Saccharomyces cerevisiae S288C: one gene and its partners. The gene in region 2 interacts genetically with the main gene of each other region. Each region holds a gene or a part of one and is shown on either strand. Other genes may lie near its edges.

What was found.
Region 1: mutations in SRL2 (region 2) and USV1 together harm fitness less than expected from each alone (positive genetic interaction), as found in Saccharomyces cerevisiae (one large-scale study listed by BioGRID).
Region 3: mutations in SRL2 (region 2) and YOL159C-A together harm fitness more than expected from each alone (negative genetic interaction), as found in Saccharomyces cerevisiae (one large-scale study listed by BioGRID).
Region 4: mutations in SRL2 (region 2) and XPT1 together harm fitness less than expected from each alone (positive genetic interaction), as found in Saccharomyces cerevisiae (one large-scale study listed by BioGRID).

The regions. Positions count from the first base shown.
Region 1 is NC_001148.4:113,529-116,990, forward strand, and holds USV1 (Usv1p), read left to right. Parts: upstream 1-1,783; coding exon 1,784-2,959; downstream 2,960-3,462. Other genes in the region: trifunctional fatty acid synthase subunit FAS2, read left to right, coding at 1-787. UniProt on the Saccharomyces cerevisiae protein: Transcription factor that participates in the transcriptional activation of glucose-repressed genes during exponential growth in non-fermentable carbon conditions. Also involved in salt-stress response.
Region 2 is NC_001144.5:291,862-295,394, reverse strand, and holds SRL2 (Srl2p), read left to right. Parts: upstream 1-1,822; coding exon 1,823-3,001; downstream 3,002-3,533. Other genes in the region: EMP70 (Emp70p), read left to right, coding at 1-1,304; galactose permease GAL2, read right to left, coding at 3,459-3,533.
Region 3 is NC_001147.6:14,733-17,351, forward strand, and holds YOL159C-A (uncharacterized protein), read right to left. Parts: upstream 774-2,619; coding exon 501-773; downstream 1-500. Other genes in the region: CSS3 (Css3p), read right to left, coding at 2,549-2,619.
Region 4 is NC_001142.9:671,245-674,142, forward strand, and holds XPT1 (xanthine phosphoribosyltransferase), read left to right. Parts: upstream 1-1,746; coding exon 1,747-2,376; downstream 2,377-2,898. Other genes in the region: NMD5 (Nmd5p), read left to right, coding at 1-1,424; SGM1 (Sgm1p), read right to left, coding at 2,485-2,898. UniProt on the Saccharomyces cerevisiae protein: May act as a xanthine phosphoribosyltransferase involved in the synthesis of purine nucleotides. Such activity is however unclear in vivo.

The DNA of each region.
Region 1 (3,462 bases), on a different chromosome or scaffold from region 2:
CCCATCCAAGACTTTAAAGACCGACGGTGTCAGAGCCGTGTCCATCACTTCTTTCGGTTTTGGTCAAAAGGGTGGTCAAGCTATTGTGGTTCATCCAGACTACTTATACGGTGCTATCACTGAAGACAGATACAACGAGTATGTCGCCAAGGTTAGTGCCAGAGAGAAAAGTGCCTACAAATTCTTCCATAATGGTATGATCTACAACAAGTTGTTCGTAAGTAAAGAGCATGCTCCATACACTGATGAATTGGAAGAGGATGTTTACTTGGACCCATTAGCCCGTGTATCTAAGGATAAGAAATCAGGCTCCTTGACTTTCAACTCTAAAAACATCCAAAGCAAGGACAGTTACATCAATGCTAACACCATTGAAACTGCCAAGATGATTGAAAACATGACCAAGGAGAAAGTCTCTAACGGTGGCGTCGGTGTAGATGTTGAATTAATCACTAGCATCAACGTTGAAAATGATACTTTTATCGAGCGCAATTTCACCCCGCAAGAAATAGAGTACTGCAGCGCGCAGCCTAGTGTGCAAAGCTCTTTCGCTGGGACATGGTCCGCCAAAGAGGCTGTTTTCAAGTCCTTAGGCGTCAAGTCCTTAGGCGGTGGTGCTGCATTGAAAGACATCGAAATCGTACGCGTTAACAAAAACGCTCCAGCCGTTGAACTGCACGGTAACGCCAAAAAGGCTGCCGAAGAAGCTGGTGTTACCGATGTGAAGGTATCTATTTCTCACGATGACCTCCAAGCTGTCGCGGTCGCCGTTTCTACTAAGAAATAGAGAGAGCACTACGTAGTCCCTCTTTTAATATGTAACGTGTCGCTTCTATTTATCAGACATAATAGTAATTACTTTGTTATTTTTCTATCGTTTCCTTACTTTAGCCTCTGATTTCGATCTGGCCTAATCATTGTGTACGTCTATAATCATATGGCCCTGAGCGTACACACCGTTCAATTCTTCTATTTGGTCGGCCCACACAAATTCGCGCGGGGGCATATTGACGCGTGGAAGAATAGAAGTCCGCGTAGCAGCTCTGGGGTAATTAGGCTTTTACGATATCGGCTGGCCCAGCACCGGTTTTTATTCCTCCCGTGGTTGTTGTCTCTACCGTGAGGAGGGGAAAGGGTCAGGGACGGCCGGTAGTTATGTTGTCTCAACGATTACTGCCATCTATTGTTTACACCAATCGCGTGGGGCAAGGGGCTGGAAGGCTGTGGTGTACAGAATAGGGTCTAATACCCGATGCGCGACGCTCCTGCGACTGGTTGTGTGAGCCACCCCTTGATCGCCTCTGCCAAATACTCAGGGAAGAGAAAAATCGCGAAGGTGGACGAGTGCCCTTAAAGAACCAGCATCCTCGATCGCCGCTGCCGTTCGCCCTGGCTTAGCGGTGGGAAGCATCCTTTGGCTTTCGAATTCTCCGCCGTTGAGTCCCCCTAAGGGCCTTATTTATCCCCTCTATTTTTTTTTAGAAAATGTTTTCTTTTTCAAGATTTGTTTGCTCCTTCACGGCTTCCCCCTTAACCGTTCAACAGTCTTCCGTATATAACAATCTCAATCCACTCTTATTGCCTATAATTTTGATTAATTCTTATTCATCCCGGCAGATAAAGTTTCGTCTTGTTTTGAAAGAGACAGGAGTTCTTGGCTGCAGTATTTTGCAACAGCTTCATTAACCATGTATGTAAAGAAAAAATCTGGAGCGACTTACTGGCTTAGCTTTTTTTACTAACACATAAATAATACTGTGATAAGATAAGAAAAAAACACGAAATGGAAAATACCACGAATCGTAATACTGCAGGCGTTCTTACGAGCAGCAATGGTAACTTTGCCACCAATAGTGTAGCGGCATCAACTCCGAAGAGGTCCAAAAGTGCTCGAAGGAAAACGTTCAAATGCACCGGATATGACGGTTGTACGATGTCCTTCACTAGAGCGGAACATCTTGCACGTCATATAAGAAAGCACACTGGTGAAAAGCCGTTCCAGTGTCCTGCATGTTTGAAATTCTTCAGTAGAGTTGATAATTTGAAACAGCATCGGGAATCGGTCCATGCACATAAAAACCACCATTCTACCAGCTCGCACCAGCGTAAGCCTTCCTCTTCATCTTTATCCTCCTCTTCTTCTGCATCTTCTTCGTCTTCTGCTTCATCATCTACATCATATAGTGATCCTTACAGGAAAACTAATATTAATAGCGGGAACATGCCGATGATGGCAGAAAACGAAAAAGCGCCCCAAATAATACATTCTTCGCCGGAGTTCATTACTAGCACGAGAAGCATCCCACCCATCTCTCCAAGGTCCATTTATAATACCCAACGACAGCAACAACACCAACAACAACAGCATCAACAGGCTCCCTATTATTTTCCTTCCCATCCAATCACTGATAGTTACTACCAGTATCCTCTTCCCAGTAATAATAACACCATCAATTATTTACCATCAGTAGATGTGCAGTATCCTTTGAATGTGAGCCCCTCCTCAACGAGCCATCCGGCCTCTGAGGTAATCATATCGTCCTTTCCTCCGAGGTCCATGCCAAGTACTTCCTTCAAATATAAAGATTCTGCCGACTTTCAAGCACGGACAACTATGAACAAATACAATATTAGACCAAGCAATATCAATGTCAATACTAGTAATATCAATAACCATCTTGATTCATTCTCCCCGCCGTTTTCTCCGTCAACGACAGTTGCTGAAGCAAAACCAATTATTTTACCACAGTATCAGCAGGCATTTAGCCAACCACCAAATGGAAATAAAAACAATAATATGTCTTCCTCGAAGAATGGCGGCAAAGGGGGAGAAAATTTCAAGAATACTGATGATCGCAATGATAATAATAACAAAAAGAGGTCGGAAACTTTATCAGAGTCTGATATTTCGGTCAACACCAATAAGAAAAGGCTTAGTGTTGATTACATATTGACTTGATCGAGGCAATCTGATCTAAGTTTCAAATATTCCGTAGAGTATAAATATCTTACAACTAATATAATTCTTAATATGCGCAAACAAATTATGGTGCGCATCTTTTTTTATTTTTATGTTTTGTTCCATACTAAATGCAGTTTATAAAATTTTTCAAATGAGTCAAGCTATGTATAATCAGTGCTACAAAAATGATAAGATGCAATTGCAAGAAAAAATCCCTTGCATAAAGGGCTTTCTGACCTCTTGCGTTGATCAACGAGAAATAACCGCAAAACTTAATTTTAAACTCCCGCGTCTGCTTTACACAGCCCACAGTAGCATCAAAAACTACGATGTAACACTAACGGTGGATTGTGAATACGGAACGAACAATCCTGCATCTTGACTTCAAAACTTGATCATATACACCTATACCGCCATGGTTATCTCGCCCTTACGCTCACCCGGACCCCCGTTAATTGCAATAATAAGAAAAAGAAAAGAAAGAAGCTTTTTATCTCATT
Region 2 (3,533 bases):
GTAACTATCGTGTAGTTGGTGTTATCGTCGAACCGGTTTCCATAAAACGTTCCAGTCCAGGTACATGTGAAACGACTGGCAGCCCATTGATGCTAGACGAAGGAAATGATAATGAAGTTTATTTTACTTATTCCGTTAAATTCAATGAATCAGCGACTTCTTGGGCCACCAGGTGGGACAAATATTTACACGTATATGATCCTTCTATTCAATGGTTTTCTTTGATAAATTTCTCCTTAGTTGTTGTCTTATTGTCATCTGTTGTTATCCATTCGCTATTGCGCGCACTGAAAAGTGATTTCGCACGTTACAACGAGTTAAATTTGGACGATGATTTTCAAGAAGATTCGGGTTGGAAATTGAATCATGGTGATGTTTTTCGTTCGCCAAGTCAATCGCTAACCCTTTCAATTTTGGTTGGTTCAGGAGTTCAATTATTTTTGATGGTAACTTGCAGTATCTTCTTCGCTGCATTGGGTTTCCTATCACCTAGTTCTAGAGGTTCCTTAGCCACTGTTATGTTTATCTTATATGCATTATTCGGGTTTGTCGGCTCTTATACATCTATGGGCATCTACAAATTTTTCAATGGGCCATACTGGAAGGCAAACTTGATATTGACTCCACTTCTAGTTCCTGGTGCTATTCTGCTAATAATTATTGCGTTGAACTTTTTCTTAATGTTTGTTCATTCTTCTGGTGTCATACCAGCAAGTACTCTGTTTTTTATGGTTTTTCTATGGTTTTTGTTCTCAATCCCATTATCATTTGCTGGTTCATTGATTGCCAGGAAAAGATGTCACTGGGATGAACATCCAACCAAGACAAACCAAATCGCAAGACAAATACCCTTCCAGCCTTGGTATTTAAAGACTATACCAGCTACTTTGATTGCTGGTATCTTTCCATTTGGCTCCATCGCCGTTGAGTTGTATTTCATATACACAAGTTTATGGTTTAATAAGATTTTTTACATGTTTGGTTTCCTCTTTTTCTCTTTCCTCCTATTAACTTTGACAAGTTCACTCGTCACTATTTTGATCACTTATCATTCCTTATGCCTGGAGAACTGGAAGTGGCAATGGAGAGGATTCATAATTGGAGGCGCCGGTTGTGCTTTGTATGTGTTTATTCATTCTATTTTATTCACCAAATTTAAGTTGGGTGGATTCACGACTATTGTCTTATACGTGGGATACTCCTCAGTCATTTCATTACTCTGCTGTTTGGTAACGGGGTCAATTGGCTTTATCAGCAGTATGCTCTTTGTTAGAAAAATCTACTCATCCATTAAAGTTGACTAGGCCAACGAAAAAGAGGTCCTATATGTTGGGTTAGGGCGTTTTTTATTTATTTCTCTACTGTTTATCTTTTTTAACAAAGAAAATGCTAGGCCCTATGGCCTTTGGACATGATACATAGTTTTTAGTAATATTTTTTTCAAAAAGATTAAAAGTACTATAGGATTCGAAGTTGTAATTTTTGGTGTATATACATTTATTTATTTGAATCTTTTTTCCATGATTCTGGAATGACATTCTGCGTTACAGTTTGGGAATAAATGCTCCTTTAAGGAAATAATATACAGCTTTAGTGTACAGGGTTAATCTATAGCCACATTAAAAGGACTTGATTATGACTTAAAATAAGTGACACTGACGCTTTAATATTCAGTCCGGGTGATGCTGTCATCTAGGACAAAACAATGGGAGTGGATAAGTAAGCAAGTAATAAGATAAAACAGTATTAGAAATTGGTAGTAGGCTGAAGCTTGTTGAAGCTGGTGGACAGAAAAACGCTTATATTGTGAAGATCCTTTTGGATGTCCAACTTTAAGAATTTTACTTTAAATTCCTTTGAAGATTATTACGGAAAGCCCTCTGAAACGCCAAAAATGGAGGAAGAGAAATTGGAAGTAACAAATGTGAATGCGTCCTCTTCAAAAAAAGTACATAAAAGCAAAAAGAGCACTTCAAAATATGACCAAAAGAATGTATTTAGAAACTCAATGACAGGAATTGCACAAATACTGCCAACAAAACCTGTGAAAATTATAGAGCAGAATATTGATTTTGCCAATCCGAAGAGCTTCGACCTCCTGCAATCTACACATACTATTTGCTTTAATAAAAGAATTAACACTACTAATACCAAGTTGAATGTGGAAACTCATACTTCTAGTGATATTGACAACGACATATTGCACGTTGGAGCCCCCACAGACTTGGGGGGAAACAGTAATGACGAAGCGGAAACAAGGCAACTAAGGAAGTTTCGATGGTCCAATAATAAAGAAAAAAGTCTTTGTGAAAAGTTAACAGTCATATATTGGGCCCTCTTGCTCCACACAACAAAGAGAGCAAGTAAAAGGAGACCTATATTATGTCATCAAATGATAGCTGAGTTTTTTAACAGAGTTTATAAGGAGAAATCAAGAGTACCTATAACTTCAAGATATATTAGAGATAACCTCGTCGCTTGGGTCACTCAAGGAAAGGAATTGCATGAAAAAGGTTGGGTAGGGGATGCCAAAACTGGCGATTTGCAAGAACAGTTCAATATAGCCACTGTCAAATTATATGAAAGCGCAGAAGACGGGCGTCTTTCCATTGGTAAAGACAAACCCTTTCGAGAGGAAAACACCGGCAGTGATAGTTTGGTTCGAGCGGAAGAGGACTCTACCGCTGTCACTAATGAAAATGGACATATTTCTTCAGAAAAAAACTTGAAAAAAGATCGTAGAGAGTCTATAAGGAACCAAATCCTGACTTTAGACCTAAATGACGAAGATTTTTTCCAAAATGTAATGAAAGTTTTATCAGCCATTGATGAACCAGAACTGAGACAATATGTAATCGTAATCTCAGAATTAGTTAGCATGGAAATGGATGATGGTAAAACGGTACGAGAAAAGCTCCGAGACGTTGAATTGAATATTAATAGGTTGCAGGTTGATATAAAAGAAATAAAGGAAATGCTTGTTACACTGATAAACAAATGACTGAAAAAAGCAACTCCTGGATCGTTCGAACATTCTCACTCCATTAATTGTATGTTAGCTCAGGAATTCAACTGGAAGAAAGTCCAGGCAAGTACCTGACTTATTTTCTAGAGGACCCCCCAGAGATAAGTCTGGTGATGTGGTCCTTTAATAATTTCATAGGGACAATTCATTTTGCGTTTTTAATTTTGCTCGGTGAACAAAGGATGGCAGAGCATGTTATCGTTTTCTTTTTTTTTTCCTGTTTTAGAGAAAAAGGTTATATATGTAATAATACTCTGATATATGTACACAAATAATAGGTTTAGGTAAGGAATTTATATAATCGTAAGGATATCATTGATAAGGGAAATTTTTTTTTTTTTTTTTCAAACAAATACTATGATAATTAAAATGAAGAAAAAACGTCAGTCATGAAAAATTAAGAGAGATGATGGAGCGTCTCACTTCAAACGCATTATTCTAGCATGGCCTTGTACCACGGTTTGTCGTCATGTTGTAAATCCTCTAAATCGTAATTATTACCTCTTCT
Region 3 (2,619 bases), on a different chromosome or scaffold from region 2:
ATACTATCCCACTTTATATATATTACCTAAACTTTATTATTTAAAGCTCATCATGGTGGTCATGGCCACCGTAACATTGATTATTAAAGCAGCATCCACTCTCAAATCCCTCTTTTTGGACAGCGCGTTTGGATCCACACCACTCTTCACAGCAAACATGACCATTCTTCTCTGTGCACGTTTTAATGCATGAATAGCCCTTTCCACCGCAATTGTGTGCAGATGAATAGCCGAGCGATTTACCGCAATCAGTACAACCTCCAGTCGAGATACGATACCTTGCGTTAAGACACCCTTTTCCTCTTTTTAGCATTTCTTGGTTGACTTGTTGGCGAAGAAAAGAAAAGTCGGCGTCAAGAATATTAATTTTGGTAACGTTTGTATCAAAGCCAATGGTAGTACCATTGAATTCAGTTATGATTAGATTGATAGTACCATTGGTTTGCTGTAAGTTTACTGAGTCGACAACAGAGCTAGCATACGCATGAATCTCGGTCTGATTACTGTCGAGGGTTCCAGCATGAACGCAAGATTATACCGTCGCCAACAAGCTCATTAATATCGTGACCATGTTTTTTGAATTCATCTTCATAATACAAAAGTAATCTCTTATTTTCTAGTGTCCTTTTGGTGATATGTAAAGTATAACAATATATCTTCTCTTCAAACTGTGAAGGATTTAGAAACTTTATAAAGACAAAGTCGGAGAAATTCTCTTCACAATATACTGTATCCAGCCACTGCCCTGATAAATCGAGTTCACAGTATTGCATATGTGCAGTGATTCCACAAATGGTATTGGTTTGGTCCCAAACTCGACAAAACAAAGAAACTAGCAGCGTATATATAGTACTTATTCTATGGGGCTATTCATTTAATATTTAATCTGTCTGACCTGGCATTCTGCAAACTGTCGGTAGGAAATTACGCGATCAATAAAATTCCTGTTGATGGGAGGGAGAAGACAAGCGAACTCTACGCTTTAAGCAGAGCTGGTGGAAAAACACCATAATAATCCGAGGCAGCAGTTACGCTAAATGGAAAGAAATCGTTAAAAATAAGGGGCAGGCAGGTGTGCTGCTGAAAAGGTAAATGAAAACCAGTGAGTACACTTCTGCATGGATTTTTTTGGCAACAAATCAACGAAAAAAATACTCACAGCTTCCGAATAAGACGGCTTTCCATCAGTATTATTAGAGAATTATGTGGCTGTAACCTTGCTGTTTTTACACTCGTTCCAAGTAAAAAATGCTCATCTTACCATTTTAGATAGAAAAAAAAAATCCTACCTGCCATTTCTAGTCAGCAGAATCTTTACAACATATTGCGAATTTTCTTCAATATTGGTTTATTTTAAGTGTTTGATAGAGTTTGGAGTTCAATAATTTACGCTTGATGCTTAAGTTATTTTTAGTAATGGCACGATAATTAATGCTGTTGTTACTCCCTTATATGATACTACGCGGTAAATCATCATTATACGGAAACCTTTAGATATAGTGCTGTCAACTGGAATTATTATATGGGAAATAACAATTTGTGCATTTTGCATTGAACAGCTCAGGAGAAGAATTAAGTGTAAATTTGGGAGTTTGCTTTCAAATCACCGCCCTGAAAGTGAAGCAACAATCTTGAAGCCTGCTGTATTGGAAGCATTGGAATATACGTCACTCCCTGAACATCTTGAATCTTTTTTTTATTGCTAGCTACAGCTTCAGTTAATTTTGTCACCTTAGACTACCAATTGTTTTATTTTGTATCTTTGGTATGATAATCTTATTCCGTCTCGTATTATACTTGTCCTGTTATGATCTCTCGAAGCAAGTTCTAAGAACTTGTGAGTTTTATAATACTCCTAGGTTTAGCCACTTTCCAAAGATAGAGCAATCTTTTTGGAATTGAAATGTCAGAGGGATGATTCTGACGATAGACATTTTTCTGATGAACTGTTGCGTACGCACGCATAAAAACAGTATAACTTTAGGTGGTAGCGGTAGTGTCGACTTTTATTGGAATGAGAATTAACTATCATATATCGACTAGTATCCATAGTACGTGTATATTATCGTATACAACGTAAGAAAGACATAAATATTGAGAAACAGTCAACGATTTTAGTAGAGGTTGAAACGCGAGGCTTGATAATTTCATGGGATAATGAATGACGGTATATAAAATGAAAGAAGATGTAATAATATTCATTATCATTCAAACTTTATCTCAGCCCATCCTCATCTTTTTCAGTACTGTATGTGAACTCGTCCACAAACACCGTATAGCTACGTCCTCTTTCATTTTCAGGTATGTATCAGCTTCTTGCATCACGCCACCACTAGCACAACGAAAGTATACAATACAATGTCATTAACCCTAGATGCTGTTGTTCCTCGATGTTGTGTATACATACATTAACTCGAAAGTGCGATGTTAATGATGTCCCAGTGCTATATAATAAATCTACAAACTAAAAAATCTTGATCACATCAACCAAAAATGTATCTTACTGCTAAATGTGTCATAAAAGGGTTCCAGTATCCTTACTACACCATTATATAGAAGACTCTTTATAATTTCTTCCGTCAGAATAATTACTTATCAATAGATTGTTTAACGTAGGAG
Region 4 (2,898 bases), on a different chromosome or scaffold from region 2:
CTAATGATTTTGAATCTGATGTCATTTCAGGCGTTATGCAAGATTTTGTGGAGCAGTTTGCTGAGCAATTACAACCTTTTGGTGTTGAATTAATGAACACTTTGGTCCAACAGTTTTTGAAATTAGCTATTGATCTGCATGAAACATCCAATTTGGATCCAGATTCCTTCACGAACGTTGATAGCATACCCGATGAATCTGACAAGCAAATGGCGGCGCTAGGTATTTTGTCGACTACGATATCTATTCTGTTGTCTTTTGAGAATTCACCTGAAATTTTAAAAAACTTGGAACAGTCATTTTATCCAGCTGCAGAGTTTATTTTGAAAAACGACATCGAAGATTTCTATCGCGAATGTTGCGAATTTGTAGAGAACTCTACATTCCTACTAAGAGATATCACACCCATCAGCTGGAAAATTTTGGAGCTGATTGGAGAATGTAATAGAAAACCAGATAGTATGGTATCTTATTATTTAAGTGATTTCATGCTAGCCTTAAATAATATCCTCATTTATGGAAGGAACGAATTAAAGAAGAACGAGTTTTACACAAAAATCATATTCGAAATATATCAAAAGGCTGTTACTGCAGAAGATAATTCGTTAGACGATCTTAGAGTGGTTTTTGATTTATCCCAAGAGTTGGTTCTTGCATTAGATGACAGTTTACCTCAACAATACAGAGAGCGCCTACTGGCGGATGTTGTCGGCTCTATTCTAACGCAAAAGAATGAATTGAAAACTAATGTTGTATTTAGTGTGACTGCTTTTAATGTCGTAATCTCAAATATGATAACAGAGCCTTTGATCACGCTTCAGTACCTGAAACAGCAAGGTTGTCTTGAAATCTTCTTTCAAACGTGGATTACAGACTATATTCCGAATTATAAAAGGTGCTATGATATCAAATTATCAGTTCTTGCGTTATTAAAAATTATACTGAAGTTAGAAAGCAACGATTATTCAGTGTTGAACTTAGAAAATTTGGTTCCGCAATTAGGGAGTATTGTTACGCAGTTAGCTTCGAGGCTACCAACGGCGTTAAGGCAATTAGCTAACCAACGCAAGGAATTCTCATCATCCGGTTTTGAAGAGGATACTAAGTGGGATGAAAATTTTCTTGACGTTGGAGACGATGATGAAAATGATGACGAGGGAGACCTTACTGAGAAATATCTGGAACTGATAAAAAATAGAGCCGATTCCTTGGACTTCGTAGATGGTTATGACGCAAAGGAAACTTTCGATGACCTAGAAGAGGACCCATTAACGGGGTCGATCCTGGACACAGTTGACGTATACAAGGTTTTCAAGGAGTCCATTGCGAACTTACAACATGTTGACAGCAATAGATATCAGGGAATCTTGAGACATCTGACCCCGGCTGATCAAGAACTATTCATGGGAATTATGAATGCCTAATTGAATTAAATGGCGATTGTATATTGAAACAAACACTGGATTACATAATTTAGATAGAAGAGAGAGGATATTATGCTCAAAGTTTGTTGCCTTTGCCTCGGCCAGTTGACTTTGATTTGATATCAAGATCTTTTTTTTTTATCTGGAGTCAATGCGATGAACCTAAAAAAATCACAAGCTTTTTTTATCTCTAAGCTGGGGAAAGAATCGTAGTTAAATCGGAAAGAAAAATATCTGAGTTTTGTCAGTCTTTCTTTTGCATAGCCCATCCTTGTACTAGATTTCATAAACATTGATCACTTCAAAATATACTTGTACCAAGATGGCCGAAAATGAGAGAATGTACATCTCCTATAATAATATTCACAAGCTTTGTCAGGGAGTGGCTAAACATATCTTAGCTAGAAACGAAAGACCTGATATTATTATCGCCATCACTGGTGGTGGTATGATCCCCGCAAGAATTATTAGGTCCTTTTTGAAAACTAAAGGACAAAAGAATATTCCGATTCAGGCCATCGGCCTATCTTTGTATGAAGATTTAGGGTTGGATAATAGCGTCGAAACTATCGGCAAAGAGGTCATCAGAACACAATGGCTGGACTTCGGTGCTTTGAACCAACATTTCGATTCCTTAATTGGTAAAAAGGTCCTAATTGTGGATGAAGTTGACGATACTAGAACTACCCTCCACTATGCTGTTTCTGAGCTGGAAAAAGAGATTGCTGAACAACAAAAGGTTTTGAATAGAATGAGTGAGGAAACCGTTATTTCTATCTTTGTTCTACATAATAAGGACAAACCAAAGAGAGCTGGACTACCTGACTCCATGATGAATTCTGGACGTTACATTGCTGCGCAAACTGTCCCTGATAAGTGGTTGTGCTATCCATGGGACGCTGAAGATATCGAAGAACATACCATGCTCGCTAAGGCTCAAGGTCATGACTGATGACAAACAGTATGTTGCGATGGGGTTGCATGTATATAGATACATATAGTTATCATTGGTAATTATTTCATATTTAACCTAAATCTAAAGATAAGAGTGTATTTCTAGTTATCTCATTTTTCCTTGCATTTCTACCATTTGTTGAACTTGTTGATGCATCATCTCTTTTAAATCGGACACATCATTTTCTAATTCCTCCACTTGTTCAGTCTTTTCACCTAATAGTTGTAAGGAGGTTTCCAATTTACTTTGCATCTGCTCAACTCTTTTTAAGAGATCATCTTTCTGTTTATTTACCTCATTGAATTTATCGTTTTCTTCCAGAAGTCTTAAAATCTCATCATTTGCTTTTGTCTTTTCTTTCAGTAAATTATCGTATAATTCCTTTGATGCTGATAATTCACCTTCCAATCTTTTTAACTCCGTACTTAACTTGTTCACCAGATGAGCGCTTATGTGGCCGTTAGAATTCGATAGCTGGACGCTAGCTCTTCTGTATGGTATTGATGTGTTGTTTAACGA